Arabidopsis thaliana: one gene and its partner. The protein of the gene in region 2 interacts with the protein of the main gene of each other region in a pairwise test. Each region holds a gene or a part of one and is shown on either strand. Other genes may lie near its edges.

What was found. Proteins that work in one complex are often made in the same cells at the same time.
Region 1: the proteins of AT5G25070 (region 2) and WPP2 interact in a two-hybrid assay, tested with the Arabidopsis thaliana proteins (one large-scale study listed by BioGRID).

Annotation. Positions count from the first base shown.
Region 1 is NC_003070.9:17,294,354-17,302,416, reverse strand, and holds WPP2 (WPP domain protein 2), read left to right. Parts: upstream 1-3,587; 5' UTR 3,588-3,693; coding exon 3,694-4,236; 3' UTR 4,237-4,586; downstream 4,587-8,063. Other genes in the region: CYCA3;2 (cyclin-dependent protein kinase 3;2), read right to left, coding at 1-121, 220-403, 489-641, 726-958, 1,040-1,381. UniProt on the Arabidopsis thaliana protein: Regulates the mitotic activity in roots. Plays a role with HSP70-1 in facilitating WIT1 nuclear envelope targeting.
Region 2 is NC_003076.8:8,639,772-8,647,935, forward strand, and holds AT5G25070 (neurofilament light protein), read right to left. Parts: upstream 3,746-8,164; 5' UTR 3,701-3,745; coding exon 1,490-3,700; 3' UTR 983-1,489; downstream 1-982. Other genes in the region: RRC1 (RNA recognition motif (RRM)-containing protein), read right to left, coding at 1-24, 139-213; AT5G25080 (Sas10/Utp3/C1D family), read left to right, coding at 4,011-4,233, 4,326-4,381, 4,480-4,534, 6,129-6,209, 6,297-6,535; ENODL13 (early nodulin-like protein 13), read right to left, coding at 7,346-7,725, 7,804-7,984.

The sequences.
Region 1 (8,063 bases), on a different chromosome or scaffold from region 2:
ATTTCTCTCTAACAGCTTGTAAAGCACCTCCTCTTCTGCTCAAATACAAGTCATGTATGATTCCAACACACACTTGTAGATCAGCCGCTTTGTACTTTGTGTACTCTTCTAACATTTGGTTCTGTTTACATATTCACAACCATAAATCATTAGTGTCTCATTCTAAACAATGACCACAGCAGACTAAAACCTGAAAGAGACTGAGACAAATATGCTTACCCAAGGATGTTGTTTCGGACGGATGATGAACCGAGCGAGAAAAACAGCAGAAGCAGCCAACAGAGACGGCACAAACTTCACAGTCTTATAATCTAATATACTCAATTCTGACAAATAGCAACAAAGAGGCTCTAGCTGCAAATGTGGAACTTTGAAATCGTCTTGTGCAACTCTAGTAAACCGTCTACACAAACACCAACACACAAAATCAGAACAATGAAACTAAGACAAACCAATAAGTAATCATCACCAATACACACAAATCTAACCTCATAAAAGTATTAATCGTTGGTCTTCCCAACTCAAACTGAAGAGCAAGAAGTATATCAGCTTCCATCTTCACAACATCTTGTTTCGAAAACGTATTATCCGTAATGTAACAAAAATCATCCACTTTAGGAGGACTTATCTCTTCATACTTCCTACAACATTTCAATACTTCCATTAGCTTCCATACATAAACAATGACAACAAACACAAGAGAGGAAGAATCATAAAACACTTACGAAGCAATAAGCATAGCAGAAACTCCAACAAGCTGTAGCTTTTGCTTGTTAACAGTCTTTAAAGACAAGAATCTATCAATATGTGAGACAGTGAGATAAAGTGTTTCAGATCCAAGTTTATACTCTTCAGCAACTTCCACTAACCAATCAACCAAAACACCTCTCATACTTGGTGTTACATCTTTCTGAACTTTCTCTATGTAATCTGGTAAAGGTCTCTGCTTTGGCTTCACCTGAATTCACCAAATCCAATTCAGATCCAATTCAAGAACTAAGTAAATGATTCTAAATCCAAAACACAAGATCATTATTACCTCAAGTTGACGAAGATACTCATAGATATCAGCAACATAAGGTCCACACATTTGAGGATCATCAGATCGAGAATCAATGTCAGATTTTGATTCTAGGTCAATAATAGCCACCGGAGCTGACTTAATCTGTTTCGCCGGAGGAGGTTTAAGATTCCTTTTTGGCTTCTGGGTTTCTTTCTTCTGATTGAGATTAGCCAAGAGATTGACATTGGAGACGTTTAGAAGCTCACCGAGAACAACTCTCTTCTTGTTGACCCGATCTCCGTCAATACCCATCGCCGTCGAAGCTTTTCGTTTCGCCGCCGCTCTTGTAACCCTCACGCAGATCTCTTGCTCTGTCATGATTGAGATGAGATTGAAGAGAGAGCGAGAGAGTGATGGGAAGAGAGAGTTTGAGATTTGAGAGGATTGAGAGATCGGATGAGTGGAAGAAGAGAAGGTGAGAAGGGGAAGAAAAAGGGAAGAGCAAAAGCGCCATTTTTTCTGATTGTGGCGCTCTCTGTGATTTTTTTGGAGTTTGAGTTTTTTGGGAGTCAACTAAAAAATTTTGGAGGTGCGAAAATTCTCTGAAATTTGTTTGGGCGGGTGATTTATGTTTTTTTGTTTTCAGATTTTGCCTGAAAATGTTTTTGACCGGTAAAGATTGGGGTTTTGGCCGTGGTGGTTCGATTCAGAAACAAATTTGACATTTGACATTTTTGTCCCTTCGAAGACATCTGTTAAATTTATAATTTAGATTGTAATATTTTGTCTTTGACAAAAAAAAAAAAAAAAAAAAAGATTGTGATATTTTGTACTTTACTAATCTTATATTTTTTAATAAAATATTTAGAATTGTTAAATGTACAATTTTCTTTAAACAAGATCATGACTTTTTAAAACTAACTAGTTTTTTAGGGTTTTTTTAAATAAAATTTTGATCCTTTTTTATTTTTTTTTATAGTGATTATTTTATAATTTTGAGAATTTTATGTTGTTTAGTATGGTCTAAATTGTGAAAACGATTACAGAAAAAAACAAAGAAGATATAAAGACCAAAATCTATAACTAAATAAACTTACGAAAACTATAATGAAAGCTAAGTGGAAAGCAGCTAGCATAGGTTCGATGAAGAACATCAATGTTGAACCGTGAGGCTCAGACATTTGTATAATTGTCCCATCTCCAACAAAAATTGAATCTTCATTATTGTTACCACGAGCAATTTCTTTATGAGGTCTATCTTCAAAACCTTAAAACAAAAAGACGCTAATAGTTTTTTTGAGAACTAACACAAAAACAAAACCGCTAGAATAGACTTACCTGACAGCAAAAGAGCATCTACGAACATCCAGAAAAGCCGCCTTTGGCCACCAAAGGCCACCATTCTCAAGCATAAAACTAGAAAAATCAGTTCCCACAATATAATATAGACATTCTAGACCAAATCACCGCTTCTATCCAACACTGAAAGCTCACTGGAACATCATGCGGAACAAACCTTTATCCTATCAAAGTGAAGAAACACAACAAACAATCAAAAACAACAAAGACACCTCCTTAGAGCAGAGCCAACCCAAGGCAAATTCAAGGTGAAGAAACGTTGCGAATATACATTCGGTTGAGAAACGATTATGTTTTCTAATTTCTTCTAAGCTCACCAAATATCATAATAGACCTTGATCACCTTTTAACTAGACTCAAAACTAATTTTACTCATCATCCACATGTTCAATTGATCCTCCACCCAATATATTTTTCAAACTTGATTGCCAAATAGTTCTAAAATAAAAAAATCTCTTGACTGCTTTTTTATGATGTAAAATTTGTTGATTGGTAACTAATAATTTACAATGAGAATGTGACAATATACAAAAACAAGACATAACAAAACAGATCAAAGATTTGAGGACAGATCTTGGCAGTGACTAATGTAGGGGTCTCGTCACATACAAAGTTTGAAGCAATCTTTAAGTTTTGGTTTCTCGTAGTAACACAATGACATGATGCGAGAGTGAATGGTTTTCTCGATCATGGCTAGAAGCTGCATATGGGTCCGACATTTCTTGTTGTGAGCTTCCTCTCATTCCACTCTCTCCAAAGATAATACAAAGTCGCTTGAAAAGATAGTCGAATGAGAATGTAGTGGTTATCGTCATTTATGATTATTACCCTATTTAGATTTTGTAAAATAATATTTGGATTACCTAAAGATTAGTTCAGTTGAAAATAATTTGTAAGAAAAAATCAAGTTACCCTACTTATTTTGATTTTATATATATACTATTTTCCACAAAACATTTATATTTAAAACATTTATTGTATTTTATATACTGATATTATCTTCATCTGATATCAATAAAATTAGCTGAAATTTTTATTATTAATTGTATTTTATGTAATTAATTTAAAATAAAACCGTAATTAATTCATAAAAAGATTTGAACGTAAGTTTAAGATTATAACTGAAATATTTATATTGACTATAGTTTTCTCCACCACACAAAGTTTAAATTTCAAATACTTCCTGAATTTTCGGTTATTTAATTATTTATAATAACACCGAACCAAACCAATCAATGTCTAAACTCTAAACTCTAAAGACTTTGTCATTTCGTGAACCGTCGTCATAACTGATCCTTCCAAAGAATCTCCAAAATCCCTAAACTTCGAAAATGGCAGAAACCGCCGAGACAATCAACACCACGATCTCATCGCCGCCACCGGAATCCGAAAGCTCCACCACTATTTCTGCAATGACAGATCCAACATCTCAAGAAGCAGCCTCAAAAGACACAGATCTGACGAAAGAAGCCGAATCAGAGAAGAAACCAGGAGGAATCTCTCTCCGAATCTGGCCACCGACTCAGAAAACTCGCGACGCCGTTCTGAATCGCCTGATCGAGACCTTATCCACCGAATCAATCCTCTCTAAGAGATACGGTACTCTTAAATCTGACGATGCAACCACCGTCGCGAAACTTATCGAAGAAGAGGCTTATGGTGTTGCTTCGAATGCTGTGTCGAGTGATGATGATGGGATTAAGATTCTTGAGCTTTATTCTAAAGAGATTAGTAAGAGGATGCTTGAATCTGTTAAGGCTAGATCTAATGCTAGTGTTGGAAATGGAAGTGTGGAGGATGCTAATACTGATGCTAGTGAGGTTTCTAAAGATGATGCTGGTCCTGCTTCAGAGGAGGAGAAGAGTGAGGCTTGAGAAATTTGGTTTTACTTCCTTATTATAATCTCTTGTCTCTTAGGGTTTTGCTGTTCTTGTAATGATGATGATGACTTGTGGATTTGGTATTATGCATATTTGAAGATGTTTCTTCTTCCTTAATATGAGTGCAAGTGTCTTCATTTTGTTGCTTGGTTTGGCTTTATGGGATTTGATATTTAACAATAATGCATCTTTGTTGGTAAATTGTTTTCCTTTTCTGCTATGTGTGTTTTGGATTGCTTTGATTGATGTGTATTCAACAACCACATCGTTTGATTTGTGTCATTCATTGTGTAATTACGGTTAGTATCATCGGGTTATGTCTTTGTGAATGTTAGAGTGGTGTGTTGAGTTTATTGTTTTGTTCAGTTTCTTTAAGCACATTTGCATCTTTGCTTTGGTGACCATTAGTGTCTCTATGCAGCTTACCATTGAGTTATGTAACGTTTTTTAAATTGGGTTACAATTACGATTAAGCTGAAGTTCTGTTACTTTTCAGTGGTGACAGGAACATGTGAGTTTGTCTTACTTTGGTGTATGCAGCTTTCTATGGCTTATAGGTTGTGTAGTGTTTGGTCGATTGGATTTGGAGTTCTTTAGAACACACCATTAGGATTAGGCTGAAAGTTCTTTGGATTTTTCAGTGATGACATGAACTTGTGGTGAGTCGGAGCACGGATTAAGTATCTTTAGATTTTATAAATCCTCAAGTAACTAGTTTGATGAACCTAATTACATCAGAACATGAAAAACACTGCCTACAAGTTTCTAGTGGTTATGTCATAGCGGTTTCTTTCTGTTTTTACTCTGTTTTTGTATTCCTATTCTATTGGATTAGATTTTGGCCAGTTGAATTTTAAACCAAGTTATGTAATGTGTAGATAGTGTTTGTTCTTATGTTGTTTTACATAGAATTAGAGGATGATTCCAGTCTATTTTCTCCTTCTTCCTTCTTCCTTCCTATGCTCAGGTGGGTATGTTTCGAGTTCATTGACCTCTGTATTCGTTTAATTTAGTAACTGAAACAATTTCACTGATTCTTTGATATTCTCTCTAGTCTTCTCTGGTTAGTGGTTAGGGATTACAGTCAAAATAGAGTTTTAAAGTTCGCAGTTCTTCCATACAGAATCGTCATGAATTTCTTTATCAATTCAAGAATCCAAAAAACAATGACTTAGAAAAACATACATAGTTTATATGTAAGCCAATAACTTATAACTACAGTTACATAGTTTTGTTTTGTGATGTGGAAAGGAGATTAGATAAAATCAAATGTAGGTTTAGAAATCAGAAATTTTTTGGTTTAATACTTTTATTCATAAGTTACAAAAAGCAGGCGGATATGGGAATAACCAGATTGAAAAAATGTGAAATAGAAACTATGCTTATTGGTCAATTGATTGATAAGATCTCAGCCAAACAATTTTTGTCATCCTGGATGACCCCATCATCACAAATGGGAGGCTTGGTCAGTAAAGAGATTGAGATTATATTGTTTGCTAGAAGGGTGATGACCCTTTTTTGGCAGAGCAACTTCATGCCAACAAAAAATTCAGAAGTCTATAATCTGTGTGGTACGCTAAGCGTTGGCTTTTTTTTTTTAAGACAAGTGTAAGCGGAGAGGTGATCAACTGATCATGAAGCTTTGTAGGAAAAGACACGTGAGAAGAAAAACTCCTATATTAGCTTCCACACATGTGCTTCATGTCCCATTCACCAAGTGTACATTCTACTTTTGGGAGTATATTATTTCTTTAGATCCAAAGAAGAAAGATGTACCTTTGTTCTAATTGGATTATTCTTTTTAATTTTCAACGATCTTGTTTTTAGTATTAGGATTAGAAGAGTTAGAGCACCTCCATCAACAATATTTTTTTTTTCTTCACTAGAATGGTAAATTATATTGATGAAATAAGTTCTGAATACAATAGGCGGCAATGCAATCAAACCTTCCAAAGACATAAGCCGGCGAGTACATGTAGACTCCTAGAAACAAAAATCTAATTAAGAAAAATTAAAGAGGAAATAAACTCAAACATACAAATACACGCATCTGAACCAATCTTCTCGGAATCCAAACTCAAAAAATCAAAAATAAAATTACAAAGTCTAAATCACCATAAAAACAAACAGATTCACACTAAGGAAAACAAAACCAACAAAACCAGGACTCTCTTTACCACAAACGGCGGTGAACAAACAAACACCCCGCGACCCAAATGATGATGGTCATAAGAAGAAGAAAGGAGATCGAGATCTTCAAAGGAGAGAAATCTACTTCTGAAGGCGGTGAAAGAACTCGCCTCTGCCGAGGTTCGAACGGCCAGAACTGGTGCTGCACATAAAAGGGACAAAAACAAGCAGCAAAATCCAAAGACGAAAAATTTAGAAATTGTAGATTTAGATCTGAAATTTTAGATCTGAAACCGTTGGAAAAAAAAAAGGTTCAGATCTGTCAGAGAGGAAGGAAAACAAAAACTAAACATGAAGAAACCAAGAAATTTCGGTTCTGGTGCTGAAAAAGTCACTGGGACCGAAACCCTAGCAACAACGGCGGCGACTTTGTTTTATAGAGAGAAGGAGGAGCGTTTGTCCCTCCATCTGCAATATCTAGAAAAGATACTTATTATTAAAATAATATAAAGTGGTGAAAAAGAAGAGAGAGAAGTGAGAATCGTCTCTGTTTTCAGAAACTCTGAGAGACGTTTCTGGCCACGTGTTTTTTCAGGAATGGTTGATTTTCTTTTTTTTCATTAAAATTAATAATTTATCTGAATTCAATTAAAATAAGCAATATTTTATTCATGAGAAACTCTTTTTTGAGAATCTACCAATGTAGATGGCCTTATCATCCTAGGCCCTTGACCACTTAGCTTGATGGTTTTAACCAGCTCAACCGATTATAATTGGAGTCTCCGGTTTAGTTTCATTTGGGTAATATTCTATGTCATTTGGTCATTTGTAAGATGTCTTAAGCTCTATATGAAACAAATTTTGTGTATTTGTATAGTTATGCCATTGGAAAGCAATCCAAAAACCATAATCGAATCTTAAATCAACTCAAAGACATCTTGATCTCTCTTTAAATATTACCTAATTGACTTTTTGTTTGGAAAATCATGTGATCCGAAATCAGATATCGCCATGGAATCTCCAATTTTGGTTTTTAAACCGAGCTTCCTCTATTCATCATCTTCATCGCCCATATAGTCCTCCTTTATCAGCTGCTGAATTCCAACTCCAACACTGATCATTCATCTCCTCCAAAATCAACGAATCTCCTTTTCCATTTTATTTGTTTTCTCCATATGATAACACAAGGGTAGAAGCGTTATTTTACAAAGGAAGAAGTGCCGGTTTTCGTAATCACTTCTGCAATGTTTCGGATCTTATAAGTTTTTAACTTTATGATGCCTTGCATACAATTAACTCAATTATATTTGGTAAATTTGGATGTCTACATAAGAAATATAACAAAAAAAAAAAAACAGAAGACCATCATCGTTCCTTAACAGAAAGAGGTAAATAAATTGTTCAAAATATGATACATTCATAGACAAAGGTATAATTACTCTTGTCATTTACTTAATTATTGGGGAAAGGTTTTGTCATTCTGTGCAAATACATTCTTTTTTTTTTGAACAAAAGTGGGATGTTTAAGAGCAAGATATACTCCAGTGATGGTATTAATTCTTTCAAAGAAATTCAGTTTATGCAGCCTATATAGTTTGAATTAAAATTTGTTGTCCTTTTTGTTCCTTGTGGAGTAATTTTACACAATTATTACTTTCATTTTCTTAATTTTATTTTGGTATTAAATTGAA
Region 2 (8,164 bases):
ACGAGCCGTTTCATCCTCTGCTTTCTGCGATTAAGATCGAAAACCCCATCGATTAATCAATCAAATCAATCTCCGATGAACAAATTTCTCAAATTCTACCCAGGAATAGCGATGAATCGATTGAAAATTTCAACTCACCTTCTTCCTAGCTTCTTCTTCTTCTCTGTGTTTCTGGAATGGTGTTTTCTTACGAGTGATCGAGAATGAACTCATTGTTTCAGCATCCAACTGCTCCTCGGGAAACTTGTACCCAACGAAACAGAGAAGCCGAATTGATGATTGAGAAAGATCAAAGTAGAAAGATACGAAGACTATGGATTCTGATTCGGAACTAGGGTTTGGATGAATCGAGAAAGGTGACGATTGATCAGGAAGCGAGCTAGGGCTCGAGGAGAGAACACAAGACGAGCTAAAAACGGGAGATAGGGAAAAATAATAATTAGGATAAAATATTTGTATTTTCAGTCGTCTTTTAAGAATTTGTGGAATTTTAAATTAATTATTGCGTAAGCATAAAATTTTGATAAATAAATTTAAAAAGTTACATATACAAAAAATGATAATAAACAAAATTTAAATCTAAATTGATATTTATTATAAACTGGAAAGAATATATTGTTTCAAAAATAAAAACTTTTAAAATAACTATGAGTGTTAACATATATTTGTAATAGAACAAAATTTTTTTTGCTGTTGTTTATAAATTATAACTAGAAGAATTGAAATTTGAGATTGAGGTTAAAGAGTTAACGTTCTATTTAATAGAGAGATTTAGAGAGTGATATAAATAAGAAAATACATATTTAGAAGTGATTTGGAGTAAGTAAAATTTTACATAAACTGTATCTTTATATATTATTCCCACAAAGAATATTTTCATATATTTAGAGTTGGTTATCTTAGTTAAGAATGGTTCAGATGATGATGAAGTAAAGTTCATTATAGTGGTTTCCTAGGCTACAATTCCACAATGGTATCAACATCTTCAACTTCTCTATGTAAAATCATAGCATCCAAGAACATCCCACTTTGTTACTTACAGCGAGAGCCAGACATTTCGACGGAGAGGTGTCATAAGACTACTCAAGTCCAATACAAATAAAAATTCAAAACAGAATTGCCATAACGAGCCAAGTTTACAATTTTTAAATTACAATGACTAGTAAGACAACAATGTTTACCTACCAAATCAACAGTTTGATCTAAAGTAAACAGAGAAACAAAGAAAGTATATTCCAACAAAAAAAAGTTCCTGGTGTTTCTATCCTCGTAACATTTTGAATAGAATAAGCTTTCTCTCTTTTCTTTGAACAACCAAATCGATCAACACATGGATCCCAAAAACAACCAAACAAAAACCATATACGTGGACTGCGTTATGGAGCTTAATGTTGTTGATAGATTTACAAAACCAACCATTCGGTTCTTTTCCTTGATGATTCAGGACATTCCTGTAGTCCCTAGGATTGAACCTGAAGCAGTTTCAGAGTTAAGATGGAACAGATTCCACCAGTTCTTGTAATTTTTTCAGACCAACGGTGGCTATGAGTTCCATCGAGACAAAAACTTCATTAGATTTTGCTTTCTCTTCTTCCTCTTCCTCTTCTTTGAGACCGCCTGTGAGTTTAAGCTTCTCTGCCTCGGATTCTGCTTCTTGCGCTTCCTCAAGTAGAAGATTAGCTTCTTCAAGGTCGCTCAGTTCCAGAGCAGCTGATCTCTCAGCTTTTGCAGTTCCACTGTCAATCCGCAACCTCTGGAATCTACTAATAGCCAATTCTTTTTCTTTCGACAAAATCAACTTCTCTATCTCTTGTAGCCTCTTGATGGTTTCTTCAATCTCATGCTCTGCTTTTTCGAGCTCAGCGTTAGCTTTTCCTGTTTCCATCTGTGTCTTATCCTTTTCTAAATTTAAAGACTTGGCTTCTGCAGCTATTCTTCCAGCTTCTTTAAAATTTCTCGTTGATGCAGCCACTTTCTTCTCTGCTTCAAGCTCCGGCATCCTTTTCTCTATGAACATAATTTTATCCATGAAAGATGTAATGTTCTGTTGGATGATCGACTTTTTAGAAGATCGCTCCTTAAGTAACTCTCGGGTACTGGAAACCTCCTCTTGTAGCTTCTGTACTTCCTCAGAAAGCTTCTCTTCGATATTTACAAGCTTAGCTCTCTCTTCTCTAGTTTTAGACACATATGACATCAAACCTTTCCGCAATTTAATAACTTCCTCATATTCACAAGCTTCATCCGCTGAAACACGGGCAAGATCACGAAGTTTGGCTCCTCTCTCCTTCTCAGATGTCATGAACTCGTCCACGTCTTTCTTCTTCCTTGATAAATCTTCAGTTTCCTTGTCAACCTCAGTGAGACCAGCTTGCACATCGTTTAACATTTTATCCATACTTGTTTGCAATTCCTTGAAGCCAGTCACCACATTGTTAATTCTTTCCTCAACTGCCTCTATTTGCGAATCGTTCTCGTCAATCTCCTTCTCCTTTGCCTTCACCAAAGCAAGCAGCTCCTCAAGTTCATTTGCCAAATGTTCTTTCTTCTTCTGCAGTATCTCCTTCTCTTTCATATCTTGTTCAACAGATCCCTCAAGAATACCATTCAACGACAACCGAACGTTATCAACAACAACAGATTCTATATCCAATTCGACTTTTCTAACCTCAACATCTTCAGAACATGAATGCCATTTCTCCATTTCATCTGAATAAAAAGCTTCTGCTTTCTCCAGAATCGATCCAGCATCATTCTCAGCATCCGTGCCAAAACTACGAAGCAGACAGGCAGATTCTTCTTCAGCTGCAATCTGAGAAAGAAGAACCTCTTCCATTTTCGACTCAATAGCATCGCAATCAGATTCCGCTTGGCGAAGCAATGCCAACAATGCTAGCCTATCTCTTTCCTTAGCAGCGAGGCTTTCGCTAATCCTCTCAGCCGCATCGAAATCCTCTGTCTCGATCGCTTCCTCAAGCTGCTTCTCGAGCTCTTCGTGCGTCGTAGAAGCTAATCTGAGATTCTCAGATGCTTGCCTTTTCTTCCTAATCGCATTCTTACGAGCAGAAGTAACCGAAGCAGCCAAATCACGAGAACGATTTAGCTTCGCTTCGATCTGAGCCTTAACTAACTCCAACCTTGAGCTACCATTACCAACAACCACAGTAACAACAGGAGAGTCTAAAGATTGATTACCGGAATCAAACACTTGCGCGACGGAATCAGATATTTGACTAACTGAATCTGATACTTGACTAACGGAATCGGATTGTTGACTAACGGCATCATCTTCGTCTTCGTCGAGATTGTTGGTTTCGTGCCTACCGTATCCAATTCTTAATCCAGCCGCTCTCTTCTTCCTCCGTGACACCTGACGTCCATAATTCTTCGCCGGAGATTGATGAGTAGTGATAACTGCCTCCATCGGCTCAGGTTGGTGTTGAACCGGAGTCACAATCGTTAAGTCTGAAAACAGATTCTCGTCCAAAGCCTCCGTAATATCTGGCTGAGAAGTAGCCGTGATCAGTGTCGCCTCCGTCACATCTGGTTGAGAAGGAGCCGTGATCAGTGTCGCCTCCGCCGCCTTGGTTTCTTCAGATTGAGGCGGTGAGCTTACCTTGCTGTCACCGGAGAACTGAGACGCCGGTGTAAAAAGCTCCATCCCTTCGAACAGGGAATCCATATCGTCGCCACCATCCATCGCCGCCGATCTGATCAATCACCGATCTGATCTACATTTGAGTTTGAAACCTTTTAATAATTCATAAAAATAAATTCACTAGTTTAATGGGCCTTAAATGTTTGACTTGTCTTGGGCCTATTAACGGCCCATATTTGATAATGCTGACGTCACTCTTTCCCGATTGTGTTAGCGCCTCTTCATCTCCATAAAGATAAAAATTTCAACACTTGTCGGCGACTCAGAGAATCTAACCGGAAACCTAATCTCTTTACCTCTGAGTCTATCTACGCCGGATTTTTCAATTTTCAAATTCTCGATTCGATTGAAGATGGAAGGAGGTGGAGGAAGTAGCGGCGGAGGAGCTGGAGGAGTGGTTCCGGAATCAGCGATTGAAGCGGTGAATCAAACACTTGCGTACCTCAAGGAACTGAAGCCACAGCTTGAGCAGATGCTGACTTTAGCTGAGCCAGAGGTTCTCGCTGCAATGCAACCATTACAGCGAGCTAAGACTATGCACTTGCTAGCTGAAGCCACCACTACTCTTTACGAACGTAACACTCTTTCTTCTTTGTGAATCTGTTTCGATTGAAGTTTGTTTGTTTGTGATAAATTTGAATTTTTTTGTTGTTTTGTGTGTTTACAGTGAGGTTGAGATGTACTGGTGTTGATCCTGATGATCATCGTGTAAAATCTGAAATTGTATGTGTCTTTGGATGTTTTAGTTCTCTTATTATCTTGTTAACTTAATCAAAATGGTATCTTTTGTTGTTTGATTGATGGTAGTATTGGTTTTGTAGGAGCGGATAAACGTGTACAGAGAGAAGTTTCAGAAGTGTGTTGATCAAAGTAAAGGTAAAGATTGATTTTCTGGTGCCTGGATTGATTTGTAGAGAGATCAAAAACTTGTTTGGTTCTGTGTGTCTTTTGGTTTAAACCATTTGTTTCAGTTTGAATTGGCCATTGTATTGTCTCGTGGATTAAGCAAGTTTTTTTGGCTTTCTCTTTTCATTGGAGAATTGCTGCTTTCAATTACCTTTGTTGGGGGATAATATTTCAACCATGTTCAAGGATTATGCTCTCAGCTTAGAATTTATTTAGCCTTTCGTAATTTTAGAGGCTAATAGGTGCTAACGATTTCTTAAGCGTTAAATGATATCCTCTGTGTACCTTATTGTTGATTAGTACATTTTGAGGACTTGCGTTTCTGATCCTTTGTTTGTTGGGATTATGTATCTGCCTTATATAGTTTTCCTTGTTTTGTTCGATGTTTAGTGTTGATACTATTTTTCGTAGATATGATGATTTTCTTTAAAAGACTCTTTATTGCTTGTACCCATCTTAAATGCAGGGAAGTAGTGTTTCCATTAGAAGGCTTTCTCTTTTCATTGGAGAATTGCTGCATCCATTTACCTTATAAAGTTGTTGGGGATAATATTTCAACCGTGTTCAAGGATTTTGCTCTCAGCTTAGAATTTATTTAGCCAGTCTTAATATTAGGCAGATAGGTGCTAACCTCTTCGTTGATTAGTACATTTTCCGAGGACTTGCTTTTCTGATCCTCTGTTTGTTGGGATGATGTATCTGCTTTAGATTGTTTTCTTTGTTTTGTTCTATGCTCAGTGATGATTTTATTTATTTTTGGTAGATATGATGATTTTCGTTGAAAGACTCTTTATTGCATGTACCCATCTTAAATGCAGGGAAGTAGTATTTCCATTGGAAGGCTTTCTAATAATGAATCGCGCCTAATCCATTGTTCTGGACTTATCTTTTAGTCACCTTACTATTGCATCTACCTATCATCTTATATTGAAAGGAGATTTCCTCTCGTAGTCTATTGAATGAAATTAGGGAGACTGATTCGTGATCTAGTTTCTCTGTATTTGTTTTTCCGTTGAATAGCTTTAAAATCAAAGTGGATAGTTTCAACTTTGTTTTGTCAAGATTTACTTCCATTTAGACAACTTATTTGATTTGAATTTATTTGTGGCTCATTGTTGATGTTAATGTTTCGCGATGTTTTTCGAAGTTTTTTCTTATTGTGGAAGATCCATTTGTTCTTGTCTACTATCTCAAATTTTGGAGGCTAGTGTCTTATCTTTGTTTATCAACGAGCTTTTATATTCCGTTTAGAAAGTGCTTACTCAATTGGTAACACTTGTGCTCTGCGTTTTTGTGAAATGACTCGTGGGCCTTTCGGGCAAGAATCGTTTTGTCGATATGCTACCGGGTACTAATGGGCCGACTAGTTCGACTTAGTTTCTCGAAAGTATTTCTTTTCATGCACATCGTTTCATATTTAACTTGTCTAATTGATGTTTGGTTTATCTGATAAGGAAATTTTGTAGTCATTTCGATTTTGTTAGACATTGAATGGCTACCTCTAATCAATATCTTATCCTCTAAATGTTCTCTTATCTATTTCTCTTTTTTTTTTTTACCGTAGGACCTTTGCGCCCGACCACTGTCTTAAACCGTCAGGCAGCAACCCGTTTCATCGAACATTCTCTACCTGATCTTACATCGAGTAAGCTTTTGTACAGTTTGTTGTTTCCACCTCTCTCTTTTACTGTATATCATTGTTTCTCTAACAGTCATTGCTAAATGAATCTAGCCCAAAAGCAAAGCATTAGAGACCTCAGTAAAGGAGAGAAATCGAGGATCAGGTATTCTGAAACATCTGCGAGAAAGAGGAAATACCAATCAAATGAGAAACAGTCTGTTCAGTCAGCTGCGAAGGACTTTCTTGAAAAGGCAGCTCGTGAGATTATCGGTCACAATGAAAATGGTTTGAAGGGCCCTTTAGTAGCGGCAGCTGATGGTTCAGATGATGTCGAAGTTGGTACAGCCTGATTTATTACCAATATATCATGGTAATGTTCTCTTCTGATTATCTTTGACACCTGAAAGCAAATCTCTAGAATTGCCAACTAGGTGGATGTCTAAGGAAAAAAAACGATTCTTTCTCCTAATACTTTATGACTATGATCACATAATGAAAACACTGTTTCCTTCCATTTGTTTTGAAAACTATAGTCTCTTTATGAGTTATCCTTAGGGATTTATTTGCTTCTCCTCATGGTATGATTATAATATCTTTGAGTCATATAAAGGATGTACCAATAAGGAAGATTTGTTCATTGTAGTGATTTCTCTCCTAGGCTACAAATAGCAGAATAGTATCAGCATCTTTAGTCCTCTTCGTGTAGATCATTGCATCCGTTACTTATCTGCTGATTATCGTGAAGTTTTCAGCACCATTTCTGTCTCTACATGCCAGGATAGTATCAACTTCTCAGTTCTCTTCTCTTTGTGAAGCATTGCATCCGTTACTTTGTAAATTCTCAGTCCTTCAACTCTTTCTCTTCTTCATATTTTGCAGCTGCTGCTACATTTTCTGGAACGTAGTTGTGGCATTCGTCATCGTCGACATTGCAGAGAAGTTGGTTTTGTCAAGTTTTAAAATTTTTGGACCTAGTTAGTGTTGTGGTGTATGCTGTTTGTACATTGCATTGTGTTAGTTACTGTTTTCGGAAAGCTCTTGAAGTTGGTGCATTTTGTATTCGGAAATAACATTAATATTTAAAAGGCAAAAGAATTCAACAAATCTTGTGGATCAAAGAATCAAAAAGCAGAGATAGAAGTTGAACAAAGCAGGTTAAATCAAAGCAAAACAATCGCTAATAATCCAACAAATCCCAAAACCCCAACTTGGCGAGTTAAAGAAGAAGCAGAGCCACCACTGGCTGGAGCCACAGTGGGAGCTCCTAACAAAGCTGGAGATGGTGCAGGAGAAGGAGAAGAACCAGTAAAAAAACCACCGGTGTGGCCACCACGAGAGGACATGACAACAATATGAAGCTTCTCACCTTCAACGCAGTTGCTTTTAGAGCCGCTGATGAAGAAGTAAGGACCAGATCTCTCTAGCTTCACTTTAGTATCTCCATTGCTGTAGTTAGCTGCTGGGTTTGTGGTGTTGCAGTTAATGTATGCATCTTTCGTCACTTGCAAAACCGAGTCCTTTTCCTCATCGTACTTCCACACTGTTCACATACAGAAGTTTAGAAATTTCAAAGGAAAAGTGCTGATTTTTGGAATGAATTGGGGGAAAGAAAACTGACCGAGAGTGTCGCCAACGCGAAACCGTAAACTCTCAGCCCATTTGTTTAGGGACTCAGAAGGCGAAGAAGGGATCTTCCAGGAGCTGGTTTTGCCTCCGACAATAATCTCTTTGCTACAGACGAGATTAGTCAACAAGAAGAAGATTAGAAAAAATGTTGCAACAAGAGTTCTCTGAGCCATTAGAATGAAGTTTGTGTATGAGCTATATAGAGATAAAGAGAAAGATTTTATGTTGCTTATTTGGGCTCTTTTGTGATTGATTGGGTCTTTATATAGGGGAAGAAGAGAAACTAGCCGTTGGAAGTGAATGTTGTTTTGCAGCTACTCTCTGTTGGTCCCAACGGTTGTTATTTTAAACGT